4 linked regions of the Astyanax mexicanus genome follow. The main gene of each other region encodes a partner of the protein of the gene in region 3 in a complex. Links are inferred from orthologs where the notes say so. Each region holds a gene or a part of one and is shown on either strand. Other genes may lie near its edges. The genes, in order: wdr59, castor1, mios and seh1l.

What was found.
Region 1: the proteins of mios (region 3) and wdr59 are in contact, whole or in part, in a cryo-EM structure (PDB 7UHY), measured with the Homo sapiens proteins. The link is inferred for Astyanax mexicanus from reciprocal best matches to the Homo sapiens genes MIOS and WDR59. Residues at the interface, in NP_001357005.1 of Homo sapiens: Asp705, Trp710, His711, Arg713, Ala714, Ile718, Ser721, Lys728, Pro729, Leu730, Ala731, Gln732, Val733, Phe734, Val735, Ser736, Cys737, Asn738, Phe739, Ile744, Lys780, Pro781, Leu782, Pro783, Leu787, Cys788, Leu789, Gly793, Pro795, Gln819; in NP_085058.3 of Homo sapiens: Tyr871, Arg876, Glu877, Arg879, Ala880, Glu881, Leu883, Lys884, Pro889, Pro890, His893, Lys894, Gly895, Ile896, Glu897, Phe898, Gly899, Val900, Tyr901, Arg906, Glu908, Val909, Arg910, Thr912, Phe922, Gln923, Ala925, Ile926, Cys927, His928.
Region 2: the proteins of mios (region 3) and castor1 are in contact, whole or in part, in a cryo-EM structure (PDB 9LVK), measured with the Homo sapiens proteins. The link is inferred for Astyanax mexicanus from reciprocal best matches to the Homo sapiens genes MIOS and CASTOR1. Residues at the interface, in NP_001357005.1 of Homo sapiens: Ala83, Asn84, Val109, Pro110, Lys111, His112, Ala113, Arg114, Asp134, Lys135, His136, Arg137, Asn184; in NP_001032755.1 of Homo sapiens: Val94, Ser116, Thr117, Tyr118, Gln119, Thr120, Asp121, Thr188, Tyr236, Leu255, Thr256, Ser257, Ser258, Ala295, Tyr296.
Region 4: the proteins of mios (region 3) and seh1l are in contact, whole or in part, in a cryo-EM structure (PDB 7UHY), measured with the Homo sapiens proteins. The link is inferred for Astyanax mexicanus from reciprocal best matches to the Homo sapiens genes MIOS and SEH1L. Residues at the interface, in NP_001357005.1 of Homo sapiens: Arg279, Arg316, Ser317, Phe353, Glu354, Arg355, Ile356, Ser357, Leu358, Ala359, Trp360, Pro362, Leu366, Met367, Trp368, Ala369, Cys370, Gly371, Arg372, Leu374, Tyr375, Glu376, Cys377, Thr378, Glu379, Glu380, Glu387, Asp389, Ile390, Ala391; in NP_112493.2 of Homo sapiens: Met1, Phe2, Val3, Ala4, Arg5, Ser6, Ile7, Ala9, His11, Lys12, Asp13, Leu14, Ile15, His16, Asp17, Val18, Phe20, Phe22, His23, Gly24, Arg25, Met27, Trp47, Ser173, Ser174, Ser175, Asn230, Leu231, Gly232, Arg233.

The regions. Positions count from the first base shown.
Region 1 is NC_064416.1:13,643,303-13,651,275, reverse strand, and holds the start of wdr59 (GATOR complex protein WDR59), read right to left. Parts: upstream 3,020-7,973; 5' UTR 2,989-3,019; coding exon 2,935-2,988; intron 1,335-2,934; coding exon 1,285-1,334; intron 1,054-1,284; coding exon 918-1,053; intron 1-917. Other genes in the region: RNA-binding protein NOB1, read left to right, coding at 4,563-4,631, 5,768-5,900, 6,806-6,939, 7,028-7,099, 7,202-7,345. UniProt on the Homo sapiens protein: As a component of the GATOR2 complex, functions as an activator of the amino acid-sensing branch of the mTORC1 signaling pathway. The GATOR2 complex indirectly activates mTORC1 through the inhibition of the GATOR1 subcomplex.
Region 2 is NC_064429.1:31,870,069-31,877,453, reverse strand, and holds the start of castor1 (cytosolic arginine sensor for mTORC1 subunit 1), read right to left. Parts: upstream 3,014-7,385; 5' UTR 2,748-3,013; coding exon 2,635-2,747; intron 1-2,634. Other genes in the region: nipsnap1 (protein NipSnap homolog 1), read right to left, coding at 4,659-4,723. UniProt on the Homo sapiens protein: Functions as an intracellular arginine sensor within the amino acid-sensing branch of the TORC1 signaling pathway. As a homodimer or a heterodimer with CASTOR2, binds and inhibits the GATOR subcomplex GATOR2 and thereby mTORC1.
Region 3 is NC_064408.1:116,461,543-116,468,561, forward strand, and holds the start of mios (GATOR complex protein MIOS), read right to left. Parts: upstream 3,022-7,019; 5' UTR 1,647-3,021; coding exon 969-1,646; intron 1-968. UniProt on the Homo sapiens protein: As a component of the GATOR2 complex, functions as an activator of the amino acid-sensing branch of the mTORC1 signaling pathway. The GATOR2 complex indirectly activates mTORC1 through the inhibition of the GATOR1 subcomplex.
Region 4 is NC_064410.1:33,194,244-33,201,462, reverse strand, and holds the start of seh1l (nucleoporin SEH1), read right to left. Parts: upstream 3,014-7,219; 5' UTR 2,823-3,013; coding exon 2,712-2,822; intron 1,304-2,711; coding exon 1,253-1,303; intron 1,121-1,252; coding exon 974-1,120; intron 28-973; coding exon 1-27. Other genes in the region: ptpn2b (tyrosine-protein phosphatase non-receptor type 2), read left to right, coding at 4,540-4,596. UniProt on the Homo sapiens protein: Component of the Nup107-160 subcomplex of the nuclear pore complex (NPC). The Nup107-160 subcomplex is required for the assembly of a functional NPC.

The sequences.
Region 1 (7,973 bases), on a different chromosome or scaffold from region 3:
CAGGCACTAACACAGGCATGCAAAGAAAGTATATTAAATAGTACAGAGTACACGTACAGTCCACATGTCCATGTGGTCCAAAACAGTTTAAAGGTATGTATTGACAAGGTATTTTAAATGCTTATAGTGACATTTGTCATTTAAATTGGTAAAAAATACACTAAAGTGTGCAATACTAAAGACACTAAGAATGTAATTAAACCAAATCATTCTCATAATGGAAAGATACCCTAGCTCTTAATTTTTGCCATGTTAAACTGTATATAGTCTTTAAATAGTCTTTAATATGACTATTGCACATGCATACAATGCGATAAAGATATAAAAACAATATATTATGTAGCCCTAATAATCACTGTAAAAAGAATAGGCATTTGGAAATCAATCAGTATTCTGTTGATACACTACCTTAAATAAAAGGTCACACACTTTAATATTTCATTAAGCCTCCTTTAGCTTTATAATTTACATTATAGTAAGTTTAACTCTTTCATTATGAGCAAATTGTCCGCACTAGGGGTGTGCTATATTGTATTGTATGCCATAAAATTGGCAAAAATTTTGAATATCATCATTGCAAACATACCCTGAAATATTGTGACATTATTTTTGGGCCATATCACCCACCCCTAGTCCACACTAATAAAGTGAATTGGGTTTAGCACAGAATATGTTGCTCTGCTTTTCCCCTGCCTGTGCATGGATGTTTTTTAACACACTACTGCTTAGGCTGTCCTCCCACCAACACTGCCAACCAGTGAACACAGTTGCTGACTAGTGGATAGTGTGTACTCTTAGATGGCAGTGGTAGTATTATTACAAGAAACCTCCATAGTAGCTCATCTACAGCCAGAATGTTTTTATTGTGGTTTAAGCCACTAAACTCCCTCCTAACTGTGATACACATTCACACTTACTGATGCAGCAAACAGATGAGCTTCTGCTCTGTGAGGATTCCACTGCACAGTCCCAACGTCCCACTTACTCTGACGACCTATTTTTCGGGGAGCCTCTGAAGGAGTCTCCAAGTTCACAACATACAAGAAGCGTCTCCTAAAACAGGTTCACATTTTCAATTAGTTTTTTAATCAATTTATTTTACTATTTCACCACCAAAATATTAATCACATTACAATAGCATAGTTAAAATGAAGAACAACAAAAACAGTGTAGGGGTCAGCTATGTGTGTGTGTTTCTGTGTGTGTGTGTGTGTGTGTGTATAAAGACAAATGAGGGCAGGATTGTTCAGAGGACATTCCACATGCAGGTGAGGCAGTACACACCCAGACAGAACAGCATGGTGTCCGAGACAGTCCACTGACATTGCAGTAGCCTGAGAAAAACGCAAACACAGGAAATTAGAGATGAAATGAAGTGTAATAAAGTTATTCCTCACTGATCTAGGCTTTCACATTATCTTGCTAGTTAGTTATTAGCTATACAACTGGTCTTCACAGACTTCCCACTGCTTATTACAACCTTTTAACCTCTCTCTGGATCTTCTGAAACTGAAACAGGCTTAGATTAACTAAAAAAATCTATTGTAAAACAACCTAAATATCAGTGTACTCACTCCTACTGCAACTGAATGAAAACAGCACACTTTGGCTATTACTCATCTAGCATACGAACTACAGTTCTCACTGTTTATTACAGCCTTTTAACCTCTCTCTGCCTCTACTAAAGCTGAAACAGCATTGGAATAATGAAGAAAATTTATTAAATACTGTAAAATTACTTTAATATCAGTGTACTAATGCATCTCCAAAAAATTTGAATATCATTGAAAAGTTACTTTATTTAATTAATTCAGTTGAAAATGTGAAACTTATATATTATATAGTTTTATTACACACAAAGTGATCAATTTTAAGTGTTCATTTATTTTATTTTTGACTATTGTTGACTATAGTTTACAGCCAATGAAAACCCACCCTAAATTTTAAATTAGAATATCATATAAGACCAATTGGTACTTTGGGCAGTGTGGGCAGGGTGACAAGTCCTGCTGGAAAATGAAATCCTCATCTCCATAAAAGTTGTCAGCAGAGGGAAGCATGAAGTGCTGTAAGACTTTGTGGGAAAAAAAAACTGCACTGACTTTAGACTTGATAATAAAACACAGTGGATCAACACCAACAGATGACATGACTCTCTGAACCATCACCGATTGTGGAAACTCCACACTAGACCTCAAGCAGCTTGTGTGCCTCTCCACTCTTCATCCAGACTCTGGTCAGTGATGGTTTGGAGAGTCATGTCATCTGCTGGTGTTGATCAACTGTGTTATAACAAGTCCAAAGTCAGTGCAGTTTTGTTTTCCCACAAAATCTTACAGCACTTCATGCTTCCCTCTGCTGACAACTTTTATGAAGATGCTGATTTCATTTTCCAGCAGGACTTGGCACACTGCCAAAAGTACCAATAGTTCTTATATACTGTAACATTCTATTTTTCTGAGACGCTGATTTTTGGGTTTTTATTCGCTGTAGGCCATATTTATGAACAATAAAAGAAATCAATGCTTAAAATAGATCACTCTGTGTTTAATACATCTATATAATATATGGGTTTTAACTTACATTTTAAAGACAGCACACTTTGGCCATGACTCATATACTGTAGTTAGCTATACTACAGGCCTATACAGAACTCTCATTGCTTATTATATCTTATATCCTCTTTCAGGTTTTTCTGCAGCTGAAACAGCATTAGATTAACTGAGTACATTTGAATTTAATACAGTCAATTGGTTTGAATTAATGAATAAAGAAGCAGTCTGCAGCTTTAGTAAGGTTAGTTAGCTCCTGAACTTCCACAGCCACACAGCTCACACCAGCCTGTCATTGTCTGTATCCCAACACAAGGAAAGAAGGGCAGCTATAGCAGAATTTAGGACAGTCTAAACCATAAACACGAGCTAAACTCTGTACCTGAGCGTCCCTAAACTCCACCACCTCATTCTCACTGGTCCAGCGGGCCGCCATGATGCCCCCGACAAAAACATCAACAAACCAGAGCCGCTTTACCGCGAGACTGCCCACTTCCTGTTTCCACAGTTATATCAGTACATGACTGCACGCGCTAGAGGGAGCCCGCGAGGGAGACATTAATGAATGGGGTGAATTGAGCTAATCGGCAAAATCCTCTAACTAAAAATATTTTGTAACTGTTTATCTGGACATTTCTTTTAATTTTAGAAAGTATAATAAAGTATTTTACCAAATAATTAAAAAAATCTGCCTGCGTATTTAAATTGTTCTACAGTAAACCGGTTTTAGGCAGTAGACAAGCTAGCATTACTTCTGTTGAAGGTGGTGGAGGATTTGTAGGTGTTTGTAGGTGTGAACGTGTTAAAGGTGTTGAAGGTGCTGAAGGTGTTGAAGGTGGTGAGGGTGCTGAAGGTGTTGAAGGTGGTGGAGGTGGTTGAAGGTATTGAAGGTGCTGAAGGTGGTGGAGGTGGTTGAAGGTATAAAAGGTGGTGAGGGTGCTGAGAGTGTGTAAGGTGGTGTAGGTGGTTGAAGGTATTGAAGGTGATGAGGGTGCTGAAGGTGGTGGAGGTGGTGGAGGTGGTGAGGGTGTTGAAGGTATTGAAGGGTTTGAGGGTGCTGAAGGTGTTGGAGGTGGTGAGGGTGTTGAAGGTATTGAAGGAGTTGAGGGTGTTGAAGGTATTGTGGGTGTTAAAGGTGTTGAAGGTGGTGTAGGTGTTGAATGTGTTAAGGTGTTGAAGGTGGTGTAGGTATTGAATGTGCTGTAGGTGTTGAATGTGTTAAGGTGTTGAAGGTGGTGTAGGTATTGAATGTGCTGTAGGTGTTGAAGGTGTTGAGGTGTTGAAGGTGGTGTAGGTATTGAATGTGCTGTAGGTGTTGAATGTGTTGAGGTGTTGAAGGTGGTGTAGGTATTGAATGTGCTGTAGGTGTTGAATGTGTTGATGTGTTGAAGGTGGTGTAGGTATTGAATGTGCTGTAGGTGTTGAATGTGTTGAGGTGTTGAAGTGTTGAAGGTGGCGTAGGTATTGAATGTGTTGTAGATGTTGAAGGTGGTGTAGGTATTGAATGTGTTGTAGGTGTTGTAAGTGATGATGTGGTGTTTCTGTTTTTTTTGTTATACTTTTATTGGAATAAAGGTATTAAACTAATGGAAAATATTTTGTGAAGTAAAAGTGGAAGTAGGAGAACAAAGAAAAAGCTTTATAATACTGCAGTAAAGATACAGTCTTTTAGTACTTAAGTACAACCCCAGATAATTTGCCTTTTTGACCAGATCTCTGATGAAGACACAGCCAGAGAGTGTTTTTTAAAGGTTTATAACTGGAGTTTTTAGATCTGATAATGTTCTGTGTTGAAGAAATGAGAACAATTTCCAGTTCAAAAGTGATCAAACATTTATAAACTCTGATTTTGCTCAATTGCTCCATTTGAACCCATTCATTTTGACTCTCTCGGAAGCGCCCTCTAATGGTCTCACAAACTCAGAACACATTCTCTAAAGTACATGTTCTCTTTTCCAGAGATGATGACCGTGTTTGTGTGTTCTCGCGAGATGTGGGTGAGCGTTGAAGATGGCAGCGGCCACGGTGGAGCATGTTGTGGCTGATGCTGCAGCTTTTTTGAGAAAAGCTCCTTTACACGTGAGTTTAAAGGCTGGGAGACTCCGCATTTACACTGTTTTATAGTAAAATACCCAGCTTATGGTCAGATGACCAGATTCCCAGTCTCACAGGGGCTTTTTTTGTGTTACACGTGTTTAGCTAGCTGTATGGCGTAGCTTAGCTTAGCCTAGCCTAATAATAAAGCCGCTAACTAATTTGTCTAGTTTTCTAATGTAATAAAACTTGTTTTTTTGCCAACATGTGTATACTAATCTGGAGCTCACATGGGTGGAATAAGGGTAGTTTGGCTCCAGGTGGGCATGAGCACGGGCTCTGAGTGGGTTTGTGTATATACAGCACTAGAAAAAATAAGAGACTCTGAAATATAATCATGAGGAAGATGGATGATCACAAGGCACCAAACCAAGCTGAAATGTTTTTTTACACCGGGAGTGGCATAAAGTATCCAAAAGCAGTGTGTGAGACTGGTGGAGGAGAACATGCCAAGATGCACAAAAACTGCTGTGCATCCTTTTTTTGTTATTTCAGCCATTTCTCATTTTCTGGAAATACATGCTCTAAATGAGGATCAACGGAAAACTTTTACAAAATTTGGAACCCAATTTTTTTTTTAACCATAAGGCAGCTCAAGATTGGTATTAGGGATGGGATGGGGTTGATAGTGTGGGGTGTTTTGTTTTTTGTTGTTTGTTTGTTTTGGGAAATTATAATGTAAAAATGTTATTAGTTGCTTGTCTTTCGAAAACCTGTTCAGTTCAGTTAAAAGTAATTATAAAAAAATATAAATGCTCTAAATGTCAATATTTTTATTTGGAATTTGGGAAAAGTTTTGTCCTTAGAATAAAACATCATTGTTTATTATACTCAAACATATACCCATAAAATAAGTGTTTTATCCTCTTCAGTAACACAGATACCATTAAGTGACTTATCGATATATTGATATGTAGTATCATTGTAATATATTGAGTACCACAGAATCCCAGTATTATTATATCATCGTTAAAGTGCGATGGTCTGTGATTCCCATCCACAATAACTACAGTGATATTATGGCATTTACTCTTATATCAGGGTATATCATGGCTCTGTTATGTATGTGTGTTTTATGGCTAATTGTAAGTGACATGTTTGTTCTGTTCTCCATGTTTTAGGAGATTGGGAAGAATATTTACACTCTGAAGGAGGTTGTGAATGAAATCCGGGATAAACAAACCAAAAGGAACTTGGCCTTCCTACCCTACCAGCTCATCTATAAAGACCCATTCCCAGAGCATGTGCGCTTTGGTGAGTATTCACATCAGCAACATTTTCACTAGAAAATGTAAAGAAATATAATTTAGCTTTACAGAGGTAGACAATATGACGATATTTCATTCTATCACTTATTATACATTTTAAAGAGAGTAAAAAAAAAAGACATTTTGTTTACAAAATGACAAAAACCCCACACTATAATATAAATTAAATGAGTCTCTGAATACATGTGTGTAAGAATCTGCCACTGATGTCTGTGCGGCAAAACATTGCTTTAAATATTTGTGTGTCATGAAAAGACTTACATTAATACAGGTGTGCAGGTGAGTGGAACATACATAGTTTATTTTAATGACAAAAACACAATATAAACAAAATAAAAATAAGTAATATAATGTTAAGTAAGTATAGTGAAATTTTGGGCACTGAGTGGTCTAGCGGTCTGATCAGAAGATCGCTGGTTCGAATCTCGGACATGCAGCTTGCCATCAGCTGGCAGAGCCCTGAGAGAGCACAATTGGCCTTGCGCTCTCTGGGTGGGTGGTGGGTGGATGGATGGAGCTTTCTCTCCACACGATTCTTAGGGTGATGTCGATCAGCACAAGGCATCTATGAGCTGTTGTATCGGAACCGAGTCGCCGCACTTTCCTCCAACAATTCTGTATGTATGTTTTGTATCTGTATGTATCTTAATGTATGTTTTTAATGTAAGTATAAACTTGGTTTAATGTCACTGTCCATGTTTGTTTGAGAACAGTAGATTGCTTTTTAATGTCATGGCAATACAATTATATTTAGCTTGCATGCCTAAAAAAATCGTCCTTTCATCATTTCCAGGGGGATTCAATCTGTTTTTCTGCATTCATAGGGAATATCATTATTCCCTATAGAAACTTAATGTATTTCCATGCTAAAATTGTCTTTTTATTTTACAGTCACTGAATTTGCCAAAAAGACAGGAGATTACCCCAGCCTTTCAGCAACAGACATCAAGGTCTTAGCTTTAACCTACCAGCTGGAATTGGAGAATGCTGGGGCAGAACATTTGAGGAAAGCACCTGCAGCACAGGTATGCATATTTAAACATACTTCATTTAAAATAGCATTTTAAAAAGCTGCAGATAAGTTTACACAGTTTATCTTTGCTTAAACTTTAGGTTGAGGTATGCAGCACACAAAGACACCCAGAAGCCCCGGTGAATGTTGCTGGATTCCACCTTCCCTCTAAAGTAAAACTGTTCTGCCTTTTTTAACTGGTACTTTAATTTAAAGGCATCTCATCAATTAATTAATTAATTAATTAATTATTATTATTTTTTTTTCATTTCCAGAAATCTTCAAACAAATTAGGCACTGATGTTCACAGTGCAGCAGAGCCAAGTGTTCTTAATGCTGCGGAGAGCTCAGAGTTTAATAGTTTCCAGTTTTGGAGGACCCCACTACCTAGCATCGAAGCTGATTTGCTAGATCTGTTGGTGAGTATGAGTGCATTTCAGGAAAGTTATCATTATTTTAGAAAATTGTAATTTTCACAGATATAATGAATACATGTCTGCAGAATTCATACATTCAGATGTAAGTAAAGGGGAGTGAGTTTGGTGTTCTGAAACGTATCAATTCTGATATTTTATTTGCCTTGGTGGTGACTGGACAATGACAGCAGTGCAAATATAACCAGTTTAATTGCTAAATAAATAAAATATTTGGATATTAATGTACACAAATATGACATTTAGTATTAATGATAAAATGGTAGTAAGTGGTAAAAAATATATACATTTTATTAGGTATCAGCTTTTAAAAACCTTTCTGCTATCAGGCAGTGTATTCATATCCATTTTGTATATTAATGTTCTGGGGAGTGGGAGTTTAACTTTTTAGACACAATCCATGCCAAACCTTTTTAAGTTGACTGCTTATAATGACTTGCCAAAAGTCATGGGATAGGTTATGAGGTGCTATCTTGTGAGTGAAGTAGCAAGTCAATATGAATTAGTGCAGTTTTAGTGAGGCCTGAAATAGTTGGCACCAGATTGATGGGACAATACATTGCTGAAGTTAAAACGTCATAGAAGGCATTATCACCCACAGTGGACAGCACAG
Region 2 (7,385 bases), on a different chromosome or scaffold from region 3:
AGCCACTTCCCTTCCAGTGGAAGTTTACTCTAAATATAACAGGGTGGTTACGGGGCATTGATGGTATTACCAAGCCAGAGAAGAGAGTGGTGACAGTGGTGTTAGTGGTTCTGTGGCATAAATGATGAGCATAAATCCTAGCTAATAGTGCAAAGTCACAGTAAACCTGAACATCTCTAAGGCTTGAGAAAAAGATCTAGTAAAAAGGGATTCATAGAAAACTCCGAAACCAAAATTATTAAGAAGAAAATGCCCTCTAGTGTACAAAGTCAAAATTAGCCTGGATATTAAGGTTTAAAAAGTTGCAGTAGATCAGATCCGTTAGCAGAGTGGGCTAAAGGGCCTAAACCTAATAATAACATGGTGGTTCATGAGCATTGATTTTACTACTTTACAGAACACAGGCTATAAACATGGACCCTACGGGTGCAAAAGCAATATAAGTTCGGACATTGAGGTTTGAGAAGTCGCAGTAGATCAGATCCCATATTAGAGTGGGCTAAAGGGAGTAAACCTAATAATAACATGGTGGTTCATGAGCATTGATTTTACTACTTTACAGAACACAGGCTATAAACATGGACATTACTGGTGCAAAAGCAATATAAGTTCAGACATTGAGGTTTGAAGAGTCGCAGTAGATCAGATCCCATATTGGGCTAAAGGGCCTAAACCTAATAATAACATGGTGGTTCATGGGCATTAAAATGTACTACTCTACAGAACACAGGCTACAAACATGAACCCTACTGGTGCAAAAGCAAAATGAGCCTGAATATTGAGTTTTAAGAAGTGCCAGTAGATCAGATCCTGTAGCAGAGTGGGCTAAGGGGCCTAAACCTATTTATATGATGGTTCATGAGCATTGATTGTACTCTCTACAAATGACAGGCTTTAAACATGGACCCAACTGGTGCAAAAGCAAAATGAGCCTGGATATTGAGGTTTGAGAAGTTGCAGTAGATCAGATCCCATAGTAGAGTAGGCTAAAGGGCCTAAACCTAATAATAACAACATGGTGGTTCATGGGCATTGATTGTACTAGTCTACAGAAGGCAGGCTATGAACATGCATACTAGTGGTGCAAAGTAAAAATGAGCTTGAACACTGAGGTTTAAGAAGTGCCAGTAGATCAGATCCTGTAGCAGAGTGGGCTAAAGGGCCTAAACCTAATAATATGATCGTTCATGAGCATTGATTTTACTACTTTACAGAACACAGGCTATAAACATGGACCCTACTGGTGCAAAAGCAAAATGAGCCTGGATATTGAGGTTTGACAAGTTGCAGTAGATCAGATCCCATAGTAGAGTGGGCTAAAGGGCCTAAACCTAATAATAACATGGTGGTTCATGGGCATTGGTTGTACTAGTCTACAGAAGGCAGGCTATGAACATGCATACTAGTGGTGTAAAGTAAAAATGAGCTTAAACACTGAGGTTTGAGAGGTTTCAGCAGATCAGATCATCTAGTAGAGCATGCTAAAGGGCCTAAACCTAATGATAAGGTGGTGGTGCACAGAAACTCACTGTACCAGACTACATGAGAGTTTTGTGAGTAGTTTTAGGGCTACAAACACGTACCCTAGTGGTGTTAAGGCAAAATGGTGGAGACACTGAAGTTTAAGAAGGTCCAGCAGATCAGATCCTGTAGTAGCACATAATAAAGGGTCTAAACCTAATAATAACTTTGTGGTGCATGGGCATTAATTGTAGGAATTTAAAGAAGAGACTGCCATTATTGGTTCTATGGCTATAAACATGCATCCTAGTGGTGCAAAGGAAAAATGAGCCTGGACATTGAGGTTTGAGAAGGTCCAACAGATCAGACCCTCTAGTAGAGCAAGCTTAGGGAAAAAACACAATAATAAGAGGCTGCAAGAGAGTCACATTAGTACCAGTCTACAGAAACAGGCTATGAACATATATCCTGGTGGTGCAAAGGCAAAACGAGCCAGGACATTGAGGTTTGAGAGGGTCCAGCAGACCAGATCCTCTAGTAGAGCATGTAGATGGACAACATAATAATAACAGTCTGCAAGAGAGAATCACATTGGTATATATATCTACATATATATCTACAAGGAAGTTTATTGTATCAGTCTACAGAAAACAGGCTATGAACATGCATCCTGGTGGTGCACAAGCAAAATGAGCCTGAACACTAAGGTATTTAGTAAATCTTCTAGCAAAAGCATAATAAAGGGCCTAAATACAATAACAACAGGCTGCAAGAAAGTCATGTTCGCGGTTTGGGGGGAAAAAACATAAACATGCACCCTAGTGGTGCAAAGGCAAAATAAGCTTGAGAAGACAGGCTTTAAAACATACATCCTGGTTGTGCAAAGGCAAAATGAGTCTGAACATTGAGGTTTGTAAGAATCCAGGGGACTAGATCTTCTAGTAGAGCATGTTAAAGGGAAAACATAATAATATCAGACTGCAAGAGAGTGAGAATGTTAGTGGTTTTGGGCTATGAACATGCACCCTAGTGGTGCAAATGCAAAATGAGCTGGAGAAGGCTGAGGAAAGATCTAGTAACCCTTTCTAAAACAGCACATGGGTTAAAGTGGGAGAACAGGGAAATGAGCCAGCTTCCAGTAATCACCAGCAGCAGTGCTGGAATAGAACCTACCTCGTCCTGTTCCTGAGGAAGATGAGCTTTATGAGGGGGTGGGTGTAGTTCTGCAGTCCGCTCTTGCTGATACTGGTGACTCTGAGTCTGTGGGCCAGAATGTGGAGGTCCATGGCAGGTCCTGAGCTCAGGAAGCCGCGTGCTGCTGCTGCTGCTGCTGCTGGAGACTCTAACCGCTACTCAGATCCCTCCTACCTCTGAACACAGCGCGCCCTGACCGCGGGACTCAGCTAGCGGTGCAGCGGGAGCTCGGCGGGCATGCTGCCGGGAGAGAGAGAGCTGCAGGGCGGCTTCAGGAGGAGAAAAACCCGCTGGAGGAAATCCGACCCTGGAGCAACACTGCGCTGAGAGACCGAGCAGCGGACACGCCCCCACCCCGCCTTAAAGCTACAGCGCCCCGGTACCGGTACTCTTCACACTGCCGCTATATAAAAATATACTACTAATTATATTAATAAAAAAAAAAAAATAAAAAAAAAATAAATATATATATATATATATATATATATATATAGTAAAATTTATATAAAACAATATATAAAAAGTTATATAATATATATATATAAAAAGTCATATATAATATATATATATATATATATATATATATATATATATATATATATATATATATATAGTAAAAGTTATATAAAAATATAATAATATAGTAAAAGTTATGTAAATAATAATATTATAATATAATAATAATAATTACTTGATGTAAAAAATATATATTTTGAGATATTGAATTATTGAATTGGCTATGGGTATGTTAAAAAATAATAACAAATAATTAAATAATACATAAAACGTATTATTATTATTATTATTATTATTATTATTATTATTATTATTATTATTATTATTATTATATCGTAAATAAAATAGCAGTATTATTATTATTATTATTATTATTATTATTATTAGTAGTAGTAGTAGTAGTAGTATATAGTAAAAGGTGTATAAATAATAATAATAATAATAATAATAATAATAATAATAATAATAATAATAATAATAATAATAATAATACAGAAAATATAAAACCCGTTACTTTAAAATACAATTTTTTTGTCTTTCAGAAAATGTAAAATGAAAAACATTTTGAGATGTTTAATTAAATAATAATAATAATAATAATAATAATAATACAGTAAAAGTTATAATAATAATAATAATCATAATAATAATATACCTAAAATTTAAAAAACATTATTGTTTATTTTATGCAATTACTTTTGCAATTTAATTTATTTTATGTTGAAATGGATGTTTTTTAATTTTTTTTATAGATATTGTTCTTAAACTGTCAACATTTTGCAAAATGCCATGGGTACGTTAAAAAATAATAAATTAATAAATTAATAAATAATAAAAAGATAAATTAGAATTCATAGAGATTAAAAAGTTTGCACACACCCTCTCATTCAATGTTTTTCTTCCTTTTTTTAATTTAATTTATAACAAATACAATGGTAATGGGTTGAAAACTGTACATAAGCACAGTATTCCAGATCAGGATGTACAAGAGTTGAAATGATTCTGTGCCACTGTGGTAAAAGTGGCACAGATGCATTCTGTGCCACTTTTAGCCTGCAAACATATCACATACTGTACATACAACACAGACTCAAAAGTCAATAAAACTAACTAAATGTGTATGTTTTAAAAACTGATCATAATTGATGTCACTGCAGAGCTTTGCATCATGATAATATCATGAAATACTACATTTACATTCATTACATTATACATTATACACACTTTACACATAATTCATATAAAACATAATGTGCCATGAACAGAAATACTGCTGATACTGTTGATACTGCTGATTCTACATCAAATATGAACAAATACTGCTGATTTACATCAAATATCAAATGCTAATAAATCAAATACTAACATTTATTCTTTTTTGCTTATTTCAGGATATACATTCTGGTCCAGAATAAGTGAGAATCCACTGAAGATCCACCAGTATCTTCATCAGTGTGTCTCCTGTGTGTCTCCTGCAGTCTTCTGTGTTATTGCAGAGGTGAGCTCTTAGTAGGAATTAAAATCCTGGACTCCATATTCTGAATTAAAGGCACTGTGTAAAGGAAAGTGTCTCAGTTAATTAAAAGGTTTAATAAAAAATGGTAAAGGTTGTAGATTTTTAATAACACAGAGACAGTGTGAGTAATTACACTTGTGCATCTAAAAAAATAGAATATCATTGAAAAGTTACTTTATTTCAGTAATTCAGTTCAAAATATGAAACTCATATATTATATAGATGTATTATTATGGATTGGATTATGGCTCACAGCTGATAAAAAAAACCCAGACATCAGTGTCTCAGAAAATTAGAATATTATATGAGACCAATTTGGTACTTTTGTCAGTGTGGGCAGTGTGCCAAGTCCTGCTGGAAAATGAAATCCACATATGTCATCTGCTGGTGTTGATTCACTGTGTTTTATTATCAAGTCTAAAGTCAGTGCAGTTTTGTTTTCCCACAAAATCTTACAGCACTTCATGCTTCTTCCCTCTGCTACTGACAACTTTTATTTAAATGTGGCTTTCATTTCCCAGCAGGACTTGTCACACTGCCCACACTGACAAAAGTACCAATTGGTCTTATATAATATTCTAATTTTCTGAGACACTGATTGTTTGTGTTTTCCTTGGCTGTAAGCCATAATAATCATCAACAACAAAAGAAGTAAACGTTTCAAATAGATCACTCTGTGTGTTTAATACATCTATATAATATATTAGTTTCACATTTTGCACTGAATTACTGAAATAAAAGAACTTTTCAATGATATTCAAATTTTTTGAGATGCACTAGTATTGCCCAATTTTTGATGTGCAGTGAAGATATATTCCACTAGATGGAGCCAACTGCTTGGCTAAATCTCTCAAACTACACGTTTCAGCACAAACAATATATGGACAAAAGTAATGGGACAGCTGCTAATTCATTTTTTCTACTACTTTTAGTTTATCCTGCTTTTGTTGGAGTAACTATACTCTCTATACTGTCCAGAGAAGTTGAAGTATAAAAGTAAAAGTAATGTAAGGGGGGAAAAATAATGTTAATAAATTTGGGATGCGCTAGGCTCCTTTGTTTTTAGATCAGGGGTGTCAAACTCATTTTGGCCGAGGGCCACATTGGCATATTGGCTGTCCTCTGAGGGCCAGATGTAACTTATAAATGTAATACAATGTAACCAAATGTAATATAAAATGAATGTAATTACTCCTTAATGTTAAATAACTCTCAATATATTATTTATTCAATCAAATATTACAGTTGCATGGAAAAAATGTTTGCTTGTTGCTCTATTAACATAAATCCTCATGTTATGAAATCCAAAAACTCCATCAATCAAGAACCAAACTATTCAAGTGAATAGAAATGGCATCAAGTTATATTAACTTTGATCAAAACGTTTGATACTGAAATAAGACTTAATATATATAAAATCAAAAATTGTGAGCTGTTAAGAACATAGATGACAGATTTAGCAGTTCCTCAGATTTAGCAGTTCCTCATCCAACCACTAGTGGGAGCTGCAGCAGCAGCACCACAAGCCCAGTCTTTACTGAGTCAGAGCTACAGCCCAGTCACGGGCTACAGGTACAGGGCTCAGCTGAGCCAGTCTGGAGCGTTTTTAAAATGTTTAAGTTCTTCTGTGTAGAAAATAAAGGTTTTAACCCCACTAACCGGATAATACAGCTCTCTACAATTCATCTTTCAGCCCAAGCAGCTAACAGCAGCAGTTTAGAGCAGCGTCACGGAGGCACTGCTCGGATTACATTAAAAGCAGGTCAGTTAGCGCGCTGCTAACCTCAGGATGTTTATAACTACGGAGTTTAGTGGACACACCACGGCTGCAAGGTTAGACTGTTGAAGGCTGCTGAAGACTATTAAAGGCTATTGGAGGTTATTGAAAGGGTTATTGGGGGCTGAAATCAGTAAAGGCTGGTTAGATAAGTGATTCACGTGCTCGTCCTTTGCTGAGGTGAAACTGCGACTAGCGCTGTCACTGTGATGTTTATTAACGTCATTAAAACTATTATATCTCTTCTAAAAAGCGTTTATTTTGGTCAGAAACACCCTTCGTAACACAAAAGGCATACCGGTCTTTCGCCTTGAAGCACAGCCGTCCGTCTGCATCAACTTTTCTTTTTCTGGACATTATGGGATAAACATTTATATGTCTCACTTCCACCCGCGAAGTTACACCTTCCCTCCAGCAGGGTTTCCACATCAATGACTACACTGCCGTGTAGTGGCAGTAAGCCATAACTTCGCGGGTAATACAATCGACAAGCATTGTGGGAAATGTAGTTTTTGGTCAAAGAACGCTTCTGACCTATTTATTATAGACACTAAGATCTTACAAGCTCTCGCGGGCCACATAAAAGGACGTGGCGGGCCACATCTGGCCCGCGGGCCTTGTGTTTGACACATGTGTTTTAGATCATTTGAGAGTTGTTTTGATGAGCCCATGATGCCACTCTTCAGAGGAGATTCAAATAGGAGAACAACTTGCAATTGGCCACCTTAAATACCTTTTCTCATGATTGGATACACCTGGCTATGAAATCAATAAAATGATAAGGGTGCCCATACTTTTGCACCGGTCAAATTTTGGTTTAATGCATATTGCACTTTTTCTGTTACAGTACAATAAACCTCATTTCAATCCTGAAATATTACTGTGTCCATCAGTTATTAGATATATTAACCTGAAATGGCT
Region 3 (7,019 bases):
TCTATCATTAAAAACAGTCATTTGAATTAAAACAGTAATTTGATTAATCAATCCTATTTTATTTTGGAAATAATTGCTTGCACATCACTTCAAATGGAGCTGTTTGTTTAGAATTTTTTTTTTCTAAAAATCATAATTGTAATCGACAATCGATCATATATTTGAAGAATATCAAAATCTTGGGCTGCAGCAGTTAATGGAAAGAGTATACATTGCCTTTAAAAGGGAATAATTGCTTTTTTATGCTGTACTATTATCATTAAGTCAGTGACGTTTATATATCGTTTATAGCAACGATTTCTGGGATAGTATTTCGTCCACAAAAAAAATGTCTATCTATACGTCATAAGTTATATTAGTTAGGTAGTTATTTAGGGCAGGTATTTATAGGGCGGTTGATTAATAGGGAGTGGAGTTAGAGCATGGAGTGCGGGCGTGGTCCTTCTCCCAAACTTTTGTTATTACATAACTTTATTTAGAAGGCTTAAACTCCAAGCTCCTTCTTTACTGCTACCATTAGCGCTGCTTATCAGAGCACTGCTGTGTGCAATTCATTCTGCTCCCATAAATTCCAATAAAGAGGCTCAAACTGCACTGCTTAATTTAAGTTAACGCATGATAGGAACAGCATCTCTGAAGTAAAATCATGATCAAAATAGCTCTGCTGAGGTAACAGTATAAAGTACATTCATGATTAAAATAGGACTCCTGAGGTAACTGTAATAAGAATAGCACTGCTGAGATGAATTAATGATTAGAATAGCACACTGCTGTTTTAAATGCATTGTGCTTTGTAAGATCACTTACTTTTGTGAAAGTGAACTATCAAAATAGCCAAATCCGATCTGAGCAAATAATCTAATTTGAGCAATGTGTCTTGTAATGTGAACGTAGCCTGAGAATCACCTTTGTGGTAAGAAGCTTTTGGGAAATCCAAAATCAACACCTGAACTCTTTTATATCCCTACCTTGGTGTTGACGAAGGTCTTCTGGCTGGTGTTGCGCAGGTCGAAGATGGCCAGGTTGCGGTGCATACCAGCCAGTAGCAGCTTCTGATGGTCTCGAGGCAGCCAGCAAAGGGACAGGCACGCGTCGTTCTGCCCCAGCTCATACAGAGGCTTCGTTACCACCATCCCGGAATCGGCATCCCCCGACAGACGGAGCTTCTCGGCCGGCACGGCCTCTGGAGAATACTTACTGCTGATGTCCCAGATCAGGACAGAGAAGTCGGCCCGGTGCTTATCCAGACCAGCTGCCAGCCAGTTGCTGTCCACAGGGTTCCAGGCCAGGGTGTTGCACTGTCTGGCATGTTTGGGCACAAACTCCTTCCCCACCAGCTCCTTGCATTTGGAGTTGTGGCTCTGGCCAAGGCTGGTGAGCACCACTCTGCCGTTGGCCTGACCGACAGCCAGCAGACACTCGGGCTCGTGCTTCGGGTACCAGGCCACGCATTTCATGTACGGGGTGTCGGAGTTGATGGCCAGCAAAGTGGCTGCCGTCTCCTGAGACAGCGGCAGCGCTCCAGCTTTGGCCTCTGAAGTCCCAACAGCACCAATTCTGTAGAGACTGAGCTCGGAATCGCAGATCACATAGCGGTCCGCGTGATGTGGAGACCACAGGATATCTGGCTTGGAACCGCTCATCATTACAACAACTAGTTGCGGGCAATATGACAATGCTTTATAGTAACTGACTTTATCTTGAACACGGTCAGTGCTTCATAAATATTGTCCTGCTGAACATTTCATTACAAAAGTTAGTGCAGGAAATAGAGAATAAATAAAAATCACTGTACGCAGAATTGAAAAAAAAATTGGTGATACATCACGTATCATTAAATTGCTTTTAAATCGGGCAATATATCATTTTTACCATATCGCCCACCTCTACAACTAACTACAACTATTCACTACAAATGTATGTGACTTTCAATTGACAATAGCTAAGCATTCTTCTGCACGACTCACTACTTTAGTCCAGATATAGTCTAAAAAGTTATAAAAACACTTTTTAGTCCAGAAATCCAAAATCAATTTTAAGGCTGTTGTTTTTCTTTTTTTCTCTAAAGTAATAACATATCCAAAATCTATGTTTTAATACTTATTTTATGAGTTTTTATTTTTACTTTTCTCATTGTTTTTTCTCATTCCAAACATGATCTAACGTTTTTTTATGTCTCGACAAGTAAACCTAGAATCCTTCGCAAATTATACCTGCAATAATTGTTTTATAGTTCTCATTATCACTTTACTCATTGTCCAATAAGTAAATATCACAATAAAAACTAACTAAATCAATATGTAGACTCTTTTTTTTTTTATCTGGAGTTAAAAATACCTCCAATATCTAGGAATAATCCGTTTTAATTGTGTTTAAATTGTATGTACTACGTTGTTTCACTCCAGACATAGTCTTCAAAACTGACAATCCTTTTAAGGCCAGATAAATCATTCAGCAGCCTGTTTTCTTATTGTAAAGTACGTTAAGTAAAACTACAAATAACTGTCATTAATCTGGTTTAACTCTGGTTAAAGGCAGTTAACCTTAGGTTAACTACAACCCCACTACTAACATGTCAATTCAGCAGCTATACTGCTACAGTTCTGTAACTCGCATTTAGTAACTTACAATCCTGAGGTAAAAAAACTAGCTGTTAAGTAGCGAAATTAACGTAATAAATAAATTTCATATCAGAGAGAGAGCTGCTGCTGCTGCACTGTGACAGTGTTGACACAAGCGAAGCTAAGCTAAGCTATGGGCTAACTGTCAGCTAAAGCTAGTTAGCCGGTTAGCTAACCTAGCTAAACTAAGCTACACGGTTACATGTCATTTCGGGTGAATAAAGCTCCACAGAACCACGTCGTTCCCCCGGAGCCTGAACTCCTAGCCCTCACCGCGCGGTTTATTCACACCCACATCTAAACACAACCGCGCACGCAGCCAAACACCAAACTTACTGCCTCAACACTCCGTCAACTTTCTGCCGCTGCTGCGAATACGAGCAGGACTTTTAACCTAGAAAATAAAGCGCGCTTTCAAAATAAAAGTCCCACCGCCCCTGTTCTATGTGAAGATAGATAGATAGATAGATAGATAGATAGATAGATAGATAGATAGATAGATAGATAGATAGATAGATAGATAGATAGACCCCCACCTCAGACAGATAGATAGATAGATAGATAGATAGATAGATAGATAGATAGATAGATAGATAGATAGATAGATAGATAGATAGATAGATAGATAGATAGACCCCCACCTCAGATAGATAGATAGATAGATAGATAGATAGATAGATAGATAGATAGATAGATAGATAGATAGATAGATAGATAGATAGATAGATAGATAGATAGATAGATAGAGTCTTTATCCTGAACATGTGACTAACACTAAGAGCCTGTTTCTATGTCAGGCACTTCTGATGGTATTTGTCAGTTTCTCACATTAAACTAGTTTAAATCCTTTTAGAAACAATTTAAATCATATTAAAGAATCAAACTTCAGCATAGTTTGGTAATTACAGTAACTCAGTACTTATACCTCATAAATTCCCACATCTGATCAATACTCAGGACTAGCCTAAGTGTCTATGGTTGTCTAGATGTATATGTCAATAAAATCTTATTTTCAAATGAAAAAAAGTTTGTTTGAAAGAACACAAATGTATAAATAACCACAGCATTAATATTTCTCAATTTTCGAATTTTATTAGAAATTAAAAATTAAATGATTCAATTGGATTTTTTTTCAATGGGGGGGTGGGGTGGGGGGTGAAGAATCAGTATATAATGAAATGATTTGGTCAGGGCTAAGTTTGCTGTTATGTGGTTTCTCTAAAGTGACGTCACATCAAGTTTATTAGTCTAGTGATTTTTACAAAACCCCAAGTGAGCAAGCACGAGGCGACAGCGGTGAGGAAAAACTCCCCTGTAGGAAGAAACCTCAGGAGGAACCAGGCTTCACAAGGGGGACCCATCCTCCTCTGGTCTAAACCACATATGACTAATTCATGATATGACGTCACTTTAAGACCACATATACAGTGTTTTTATATAGTGGCTCCCTGATGCCTGCAAATCATCTACAGTACTTATACAATATATAATGAATTTACCTGTGCCCAGATATCCCCTCTAAACTAAATTCAATATTAGCTGTGGAGCCTAAATCATGCTCACAGAGCTCAGTGATAATTCTAAATACAAGCAGCAGCCAATCAGGATGCACTCTCAGTCTTACTTTTAGCTGCATCTCTTAATCAAATTGTAGATGATTTGGAGGCATCAGGGGCTCTTTATCAATATGCGCTAGAATCACCGACCGAAGTCACGGGAGAAGTGGGATGTCTGCTGCTCAGTGTGCTGCACAAATATACTGATATAAAAAAACTCAACATCTATATAGATGGAGCTTAGATTATCAGTAAATACTGAGCAGTCAAAGAGACAACATACAGTGTTGTTTTGCTCCCGAACTTGGGTAAACTGCATGATATTAAATTTATAGCCGAATTAAATCTATGCATTAATCTTTATGTTTTGATTAAATCTCTGGGCCGAATTAAATCTATACAAACGCTCAACATCTATAATGATGGAGCTGAAATAGTCAGTTAATACTAAACAGCCAATTAGACATTAGACAGTGACCACTATGGTTATTTTGGTCAACTGCACTAAAACTCTGTTATACTAGAAGCTCAACATCTGTAACGATGGAGCTCAGCTCATAAATTAGTCTACAGGATTACACTGACCAAATCATTTCATTAATACAGAAAAGTATAAATAAAGAAGTGATAGAAGATAGAAAGTAAAAAATAGAAACAGGGTGAAAATGGGGAAATTTAGCTGTCAGGAGAAATCTTGGGGCTTCTCCTGGTAACGGCCGTTTCACTGCTTTCCATGCTTTCTTGAAGAAGGCCAGGACTTTGATCTTTTTTGGGCCTGCAGAGAAAAGAAGACAATATTTTATTATGAATGTATTAAATTGTGGAACTCAGTTTAACAGTCATGAGCAGTGGCGGGTTTAGGATGTGTAAAGGGCACAATAATAATAGAGGCACCCTTTTCTACCAGAAGGGCAGAAGAGCATCCATAGTTGGGCACTCAGTAAGACACATTATAGCAATTCCTTTATGTAAAGAGCACATCATCATAGTTTACTGAAATAAGGGGCACTCTAGTGGCCACTTTACACAAGAAGGGCAGTCAAAATGGCACTTTGTCTCTTTTTGCCACTCAAGAGGGAACTTTAGTGATGCTTTTATCCATGAAGGGGACTGGAGGAGGCAGTTGCAGTGTAAAGATCAAGAAATACTGATTTAGCGTTTTCTGTTACTTACCAACTGGGATGTCATCCTTTGAAGGTTCCTCTGTTGTTACAGATTTGGGTGAGGTGACCTCCAACCTGAGAGTGCAGGTATCAACTTCCTCCACAGGTGGTAGAGACACCCTCTGCAAGAAATTGTAGATAAATCATTAAAAATAAGTATTTCAATATTTTGATTTGCGATACTGTATCATTTTTCATAAACAAAGTATTGGATTTTAATAATTAGTACACATGTTAAGATTTGGGTGATTCATTTAGTCTTGTGTTTAAACCCCGCCCACTTGGTAGAAGGGTTGCACTCTGTGTTCAGATCCCACTCTTCTGATCGAATAAAAGTAAATTGTTTTTTTATTTAGATTTTGTAAATATCAGCTTCAGCTCTTTACTGTCTTTAGTAGGAGATTAAAGTGAAATTGAATTGACTGTCTGCTGCATTTCTAATATTTGGTAATTTGATTTAAGATATTTTCATTTAATTTTAAATTTAATTTAAGATGTTTTAAGGATCTGCGTTTTCTTTGAGAATATTAAAAGCTGACTTACCACGTCTGGGAGAAGAAGCTCTTGCTGTTTTGGCTTAGTGTACTTCTGGTAGTCTGCATACTGGTTAAACTCCTTAAGGGAGCACGCCACCTGAAGTAAAAGGATAATTAATACTGTTGAATAAATTGTATTAATAGTGTGGATTAAAGGTTTCATATCATGGAAAACTGATTTGCCCTCACTGTGGATTATGTGAACACTGCTAATGTTTCTTAATGTACACTTTACTCCTCACATAATCATAATAAATGCTGCAAATGGACCTAAAGATATGAGTTCTTTAAGTCCGAGTGCTACATTTCACAAACTGTGACCGAAATGGGTCGCTAATCATTCATTAGCCTTGTGTTATACAGGTGGAATCAATGTAGTGTACTAAGTTGTACTGTAACTGTGTGTAAATCATCAGCAGCAGCGACGTCATCAACATTCCGCGTTCCAAACACACTGCAGTCACGTGACCACCAACATCTAACATAATATAATATAATATAATATATAATATAGTATAATATAATATAATATAATATAACATAATATAACATATAATATTGTATAGTATAGTATAATATAATATAATACAATTTAATATGATATAATGTAATATAATATAGTATAATATAATATAATATAGTATAATATAATATAATGTATTGTAATATAAAACAATATAATATTCTATCTATCTATCTATATATACATATATGTTGTGAAAAAAATGGTACTGGTGCTTATGGTAACAATTGCAAAATTATTACTATATCAATGACAATTGCTAAATAACCAACATTTTAATAACAATCTATCTATCTATCTATCTATCTATCTATCTATCTATCTATCTATCTATCTATCTATATCTAGCTATATATCTATCTATCTATCTATATCTAGCTATATATCTATCTATCTATCTATCTATGTAACACAGTTTTAAGTTATTTTCCAGTGTTGTTTTTGCATAATATAATATAATATAATATAATATAAAGTAATATAATATAATATAATATGATATATTACAATATAATATAATGGAATGTAGTATAATATAATATAGTATAATGGAATATAATATAAAATAATATATATATATATATATATATATATATATATATATATATATATATATATAT
Region 4 (7,219 bases), on a different chromosome or scaffold from region 3:
GCTGTCCACCAAAGTTGTTCTCTTGATCTGCATGATGAGATTCTAATCAGTACTGATTACGGACATGAAATCAATATTTCAATACTAAAACCAGCAAATGGCATTCATCACAGACCGCTGTATTTTACTACTGGTGACAAATCTCAAACATCACAGAGAGCTCTACTGTACAATTTTTTTTTTTTTTTTTTTAATATAATTTTATTTCAAATTTTTCCCCATTTTCTCCCCAATTTACATGGCCAATTTCCCAACCCACTCATTAGGACTCCCCCTATCACTAGTAATGTCCCAACACACCAGGAGGGTGAAGACTAACACATGCCTCCTCCGATACATGTGAAGTCAGCCACCGCTTCTTTTCGAGCTGCTGCTGATGCAGCATTGCCGAGCAGCCAGCTCGGCAATACATCAGCTCACAGACGCCCTGTGCTGCAGACATCACCGTAGGAATGATGTGGGGAGAGAGCGCCATCTACCCACCCAGAAGGAGCAGGGCCAGGGCCAATTGTGCTCCCTCTAAGCGCCGACAGCTTAATGGCAAAGCTGCATGAGCGGGGTTTCGAACCGGCGACCTCCCGGTCATAGTGGCAGCGCTTTAGACCGCTGGACCACTCAGCACCCCAATTTCGTATTTATACTTGTAAAGCATTGCAGAAGAAGTTTACACACCTTATCTCTATTCACAGCTTTAAAAACATGGGAGAAGGCTGGACGGTTCTTTACACTATGAGGTTAATGTATCTAAGAAAAAAAATGGAAGCTTAGATCCTAATATACAGCATCATACCCAAATCATTAGAAATGTACTTCAAACCATGTGTAGTTGTTGGAAAGGAATCTCCAGCAGACCTGCTTATTTGTTTTATGACACTGTACTACAAATGTTACTGTAATGTGAACACCAGTGCAGACACAATTCAGGCTCCAAAATGACTGCTACTATAAATGAGTAAATTATTAGATGTGTTACCCAGTGACTAAGTCCTCGCTGTTTGTCGTTGGATTCGCCGACTATTTCTTCCCACACTGCTGCGGTGCGGTCAAAAGAGCAGGACGCCAGCACCTGTCCGAACTCTGGGTGAGCCCACGTCACTCTCCACACTGAGCCACTGTGGGTCTGAAAAGAAACCAACAGAAACCAAACCCAATGTTACTGTTAAAGCATAACTTGTGCATAATTTAATACCCAATCTGTAGGTTTGTGTACTTTTTTAGATATGAACAAAAGGTAGTAAAATTAAAAACTTGCCTTCCAACTGGCTGTGCAATGCCATTCTCCATCGTCACTTTTGTCCCAAACCTTCAAGCAAGACAAACATTTCTGTTAATCATATTTTAAAAGATCTTACTCGATTTTACAGTAATATTTATCTTTACAAATCTACTGAAATATGCTTCAGAAACCCATAAACTAACAGGTTTCAAGTAATGAAGTACAAATACTTTGTTGCCTTACTTATGCAGAAATTTCTAATCTATACATTACTGGAGTAATTATTTTTTAAACAACTTTTTACTTCTACTCCTTCCATTTTTAAAATAGCCTCATTATTCATATTTAATTTCAGCTTGTTTTTCCCTCTGGCTTCTCATCATTAAAAAAAACCCTATCCTTATAACTCTCTCCATCTAGTGTGAAGATGATCTGTATATAAAATAAATAAATAAACAAACTTGACCAAACTGTCCTACCTAAGCTACTTGAAAATATTCAAAATGCACTTAAATGCAACTATTTTAATGGGCATATATGCGTATCTCAAGATTTTTAACTTTAACATTTCAATATAACATTATAGTAGGGGTGGGCGATATGGCTCTAAAAAAATATCACAATATTTCATGGTATTTTCACGATAGTGATACTTTTGGCGATATGACAAAACACTAAATTAGAAAAAATATTTAGCTGCATGCAATATGATATGGCTAACTAAGATAAAAATATATATATATATATATTATTTTATCAGATTTATAACAGAAGTAAATGATCCAGAATGTCATGATACTAATAATGCACTCCAAATATTCAGGATTAAAGTAAAATAAATTATACTGGACAGATCTAATCTGTCTCTAGTAGCTATATAATACGAAATGAGAACAGTGTGAATTTTTCTTTTGCTAAAAACAGCACAAAAAGGAGCACCCTAATGTGATAATTAGGGGTGGGTGATATGTCACGATATTTCAGGGCAAAATGTTTGGCGATATTATCACGTACGATACGATATGGCACACCCCTACATTATAGTCATTATGGCTTTTACAAAAATGTGTTTTGGGGAGCAGGGAGTAGTTAACTATAGGCTGCTATAACACAACCTATACTTTTGTCCTTAATGGCATTTCCCCCCTTACATTACTTTTATACTTTAAGTAGTTTTAAAAGCATTACTTTTACACTTGAGTTAAAACTTCTAACTGTTACAGAAGTACTTTAAACCCCAGTATCTATACTTCTACCTTAGAAATGAATGTGAAGACTCTTGTCACCTTTTTGTTTAACAAAAAACATTGTGAGAACGAATATAGCTATTCATTTTTAGAAACGATGAATTTCGCTCTTCTCTGTTCTGCTTTTAGCATTAACAACATACATTCTGAGGTACCTATATGCTCTGTAAAATTTGGCTGCATTCCATACATATGGTAAGTTAAAAGGGGGGTGAATATAGGTGAATAAAGTGAAGGGGTGTGTTTACCTTCACGCTCTGGTCGCTGGAGCAGGTCGCCATCCTCCTGCCGTGGAAATCATAGGAAACATCGTGGATCAGATCTTTGTGATCTGCAGCGATGCTTCGCGCCACAAACATGCTCCTCTACTCTCCGTTCCTGATCGCTGTGAAAACACTGAATCCCTGTTCGCTCTCAGAAACAGAGTAAATACAGAACACCGCTTTAAACTTTTTAATGTTTCTGCTCACTTCTGGCGGGTCGCTCAGCAATGCGCCATTTTACCGCTCACTGCTGTTTCCTGCCAGTCAGAGACTCAGCAGCGCCGCTCTCAGAGCAGTAGGACTGGAGGAGCAACAGCAGCCCGACAGCGCCTCGGTCTGAACTCCACAATCTAGACTCTAATATTACAATAATTGTCATAGTAGAATATCCAAAGGTGGAGCTTTTAATCAATGCTTTATTGATTTAACGTATAAAAAAACACCACACATCTTTATATGCTACCATAAAGAAATTCAACTCCCTAAAATCAATGAAATCTAAAATTGCTAAAGATCCTTACAATTTACATAAAGATAACCACACTAATGAAGTGAACTAATTATTTTTATTGCCAGTTTGTTATTGCCTGTTTTCAATAATGCTTTATAAATATTATAATTTATAATTCATTCTGTTATGTTATTGTTATGTTTTGTATATTAATTGAGTAAATGTGTTGTTTCATAATACATTGCTGTCTTACAATTTGGTAATTCCCTACAGTTTTGTAGATCAGAAGTCTTCCAATAAAAAAAAATAGATTACTCTATTTCGATACTTTTCCTAGTTTATGTTTTTGTTTCACAACATTTTGGACTTTCATTTATACTTTTACTTTTTGTTTCATGTACATTTCATTTTATGTGCAGGTTGTACTAGTTACATTACATTGAACTGTATTTTTACTTTAACATTTATTTTAAGTGTAAGATTATTATTAACGAGTATTTTGTCGTTATTTTTACAGTTTCATTTGTAAAATGTATGTTTATTTTTATATCACTTTCCAACTTAGATTCTTTTGGAAATGTTTAGGCGCCACCCGCTGGACTGGGGTGATTTTACACAAAGCGAAAAGTGGCGCAGTAATATTTAAAAGATTGGTTTCTGGACTCTGTAAATAACTTTCATATTGAGTTTACTTTAAGCATATAGAAAAAAAATATGTTTTAATCAGTTGTTTTTATTATTAGTTCATATACAGTACATATTTTTATTTAATCCCCTTACTATTTTAAATAATTTATTTTATTTGTAATGGTTATTAAAAGAGCAAAAACACTAAAATGAAAAAAATTTCAATGTTTAAATTTGTTTTGTGCCTGCTTTGTGCTTCTAGTTAACTTTTTACACATAATTTGATTCGTAACAAACGGCTGTAGTGCATATTTTGGCTAACATATTTTGGGAGCGGTATAAGCTAAAAGGTATTTTCTTGTCAAAATAAATATATTTTAAAAATACACATTTTAATATTTCTATTGCAGTTTCAGATAGTTGGAGTTTGGTGTCTAAATAATTCTACGTATTTTTTCTTTTTTTGGAGTTGTACTTTTATTTTCTGTTTTGCTCGCTGGTCTGCGCAAATGGAGCGCCGATTTGCTGCGCAATTCAGTCAGCTAGATGTCAAACACGGGAAACCCGGACCGAGAGAGAGAGTGGAGTGTGTGAGTGAGTGTGTGCGTGTGTGTTTTTATTTTATTTATTTTTTTTATGTTCGTGGCTTAATGTCGGCGGTAGAAATGACTGATCCTTTATGATAGGGCTGTTTATTTTCTATTATACCGGACTAGAGTCTGAATAAACAGAGAAATGGACCACGAGTTTCAGGACATCGATTCAGAAGGCCGGTGGCATAACCTCTACATGGTAAATATTTTTTCGAGCATTAAAATTCTGTTTATTAACCAACCTTATAGCTGAGTTTAATATTAAACTAGCAAATTATACACATGCGTGACTCTACTCTACTAGCAGTACTTTCTCAAATAGTCAGCTGTACTGAGCTAACCTAGGTAAGTTAAGTTACTGAACAGTGAGATATTTAACTTAGTTTAGTTAAGCTTAATGTCAGTGTAAAACTAAATGTAAGGGTTTTTGTTGATTCTGCTACTTTCTTACTCTCAACTTCCACATCTTCATTATCAGCTGTGTACTAGCTGAATGTGTTTTTTACGCGTGTCATTCCAGTGTACCGCAATTAAGGCTGACTAAATAAAATAAAAAACTTGATGACTGGGATAGGGTAGGGGGTAGGTAATATAGATGCTGAGAATCGGCATAATAACAAATTGCAGCCATCAAAGTGCATGCTCTCTATTACAAACTACGTTTATAAGAAGACTAAGATGATTGACAGGGCACTGTTTATTTAAAACTTTAACTAGGTTAGCTATTAACTATTAAAACTGTTTAGTGTAAACTCTGCATTAACCAGACATATCAGTACATAACAAACTAAATTCTGATATGTGTTAGCTAACGTTAGCCTAGCTAGCTAAATAGTAAAAAATCGCTTTAAGCTTTAGTAGGTTACACAATGTTTAGTTTTATTGAATGTATCCATGTTTGAGATGTAGGTTAATTCCTGTTTTTAGAGAAAGAAAGAGAAAAGCGGGACACTGTATTTTACACATCTAACCTGGTTAACCTAGGTTAGCTTAGCTATCTCTAGCTAGCTAGGTTCACCTAACGTTAACTTTAACGCTAGCTAGGTTCTACTTGTAATTTACTCACACTGGTAGCAGAGGATCCTCAGTGAACCTTAATATAATGAGCAATACTGGCTAGCAAGCTAAATATTTGGTACTGCACGGTTTGCCTGCTGACACAGTATAATATTAATTTATGAAAAAGCGTTTCCCCTCTGCCTTTTTGAACTCCTTCAATGTTGTCTAGCTAACGCTAACATCTCGAAAACCATAGTGAACGGTGTGGATTTTACCATTACAGTCGCATGAAATACCACTGGAAATGCACTAACCCAAATTAGTTCCCTTTGTAAACACCTGCAACGTAACCTAAATATGTGCCTCATAGCTAACTTTGCTAACTTAGCTAGCGTTAGCTTAGCTAGTTCCCAAATCTCTCAAGGAGTGAAACTGACTAAACTAAGCTAAGCTAGCGCCTTTAGCCTACCCCCAACAGCAGCCGCCACACAAACTTTAAGGCAAGAACATGTCCAATGATACCGCCAGTTGATTTAGTGTTCAGTGTCATTAATCCTGAATTCATGCTGACTGGTACTTTTGCTACCTGGCTACGCTAAGCTAAAACTATGTTCATGGAGTGTATGTAGCGCTAGTGTAAAGTGAATTAGCTAAGCTAAGCTAAGATAGCTAACGCTAGAAGATACATCTCTGAAAAAAATACGAGACCACTTCAGCTTCTGTATCAGTTTCTCTGACTTTGCAATTTATAGGTATATGTTTGTAGTTTATAGAATAAAACAATGTTTATTTTACTCAGACAACAATTCGTGCCAAATTTCTAATAAAAATATTGTCATTTAGAGCAGTTATTTGCAGAAACTGCTCTGCTCTGAAACGCAGTTAAATAAACGTGGATAACTTGTTCATAACCAACACCTTCCTAATATTTAAAGTGCAAGATGATTTATAGTGTAATGTTAATAAGACAACAGGGCAAATTGTAGTCAGAAAGAAAATATAATGTTTCATAGGGCTGTGTAATACTGTTTTACAAAACTAGGAGATGATTTGCTGAATTGTTCTCTGTGAAACTAATACAAGTTACAGAATTTCATTACAGCATAAGGTGCAACACCTGTCATTCTCTTAAGGCTCTAATCAAAATAATATTTCAGTGTTTTCAGTATCCATCTGCAGTGGACAGTCAGCCAGTTTTATGTTTTTAATTTGTGATCTATGGCCACAGGTGTATTAAAATTATTAATATTATATAATATTTTTTAACAGTAAATATGGATAAATGTGTTTTTTCTAATAAATTGTATCAGCTTTACTTGATGGTTTCTGTTTTAGGTGCAGTGTCTTCTATACTGTAACTGTACTGGCATGAGAAAATGACATTAAAGGACTAGTTCAGCAAAAAAATCAAATAAAAATGAATGATCACTGACACCCAATACTCAAGTTTATAAACATAAAAATAAACTTTTCTACAGAGATGAATGGTGGCGTATCCAGAAATACTTTTACTTTAGTAGGGCTGGCCCGAATAGCGTTTTTTGAGCTCCGGATATTCGGCACTGATTCGAAGCGAATATTCGAATATTCGTTTTTAAAATAAGAGGTAAAAAAAAAAAAAAAAAAGGAAATCACGGCCCCTTTAATCCACTGAAAAATTTTCAATTTGCTCTGACCGACAAGACATATTCACCCCGGATTTTGGGTGTTTTTATCCCGGATTTTTGTGTTTTCACCCCAGATTTCTTTGTGTTTTCATCCCGGAATTTCTGCTGCCCTACACCGCGGCTTATCCGCTGCGTAAGCAGGCTAGGAGGCTGCTG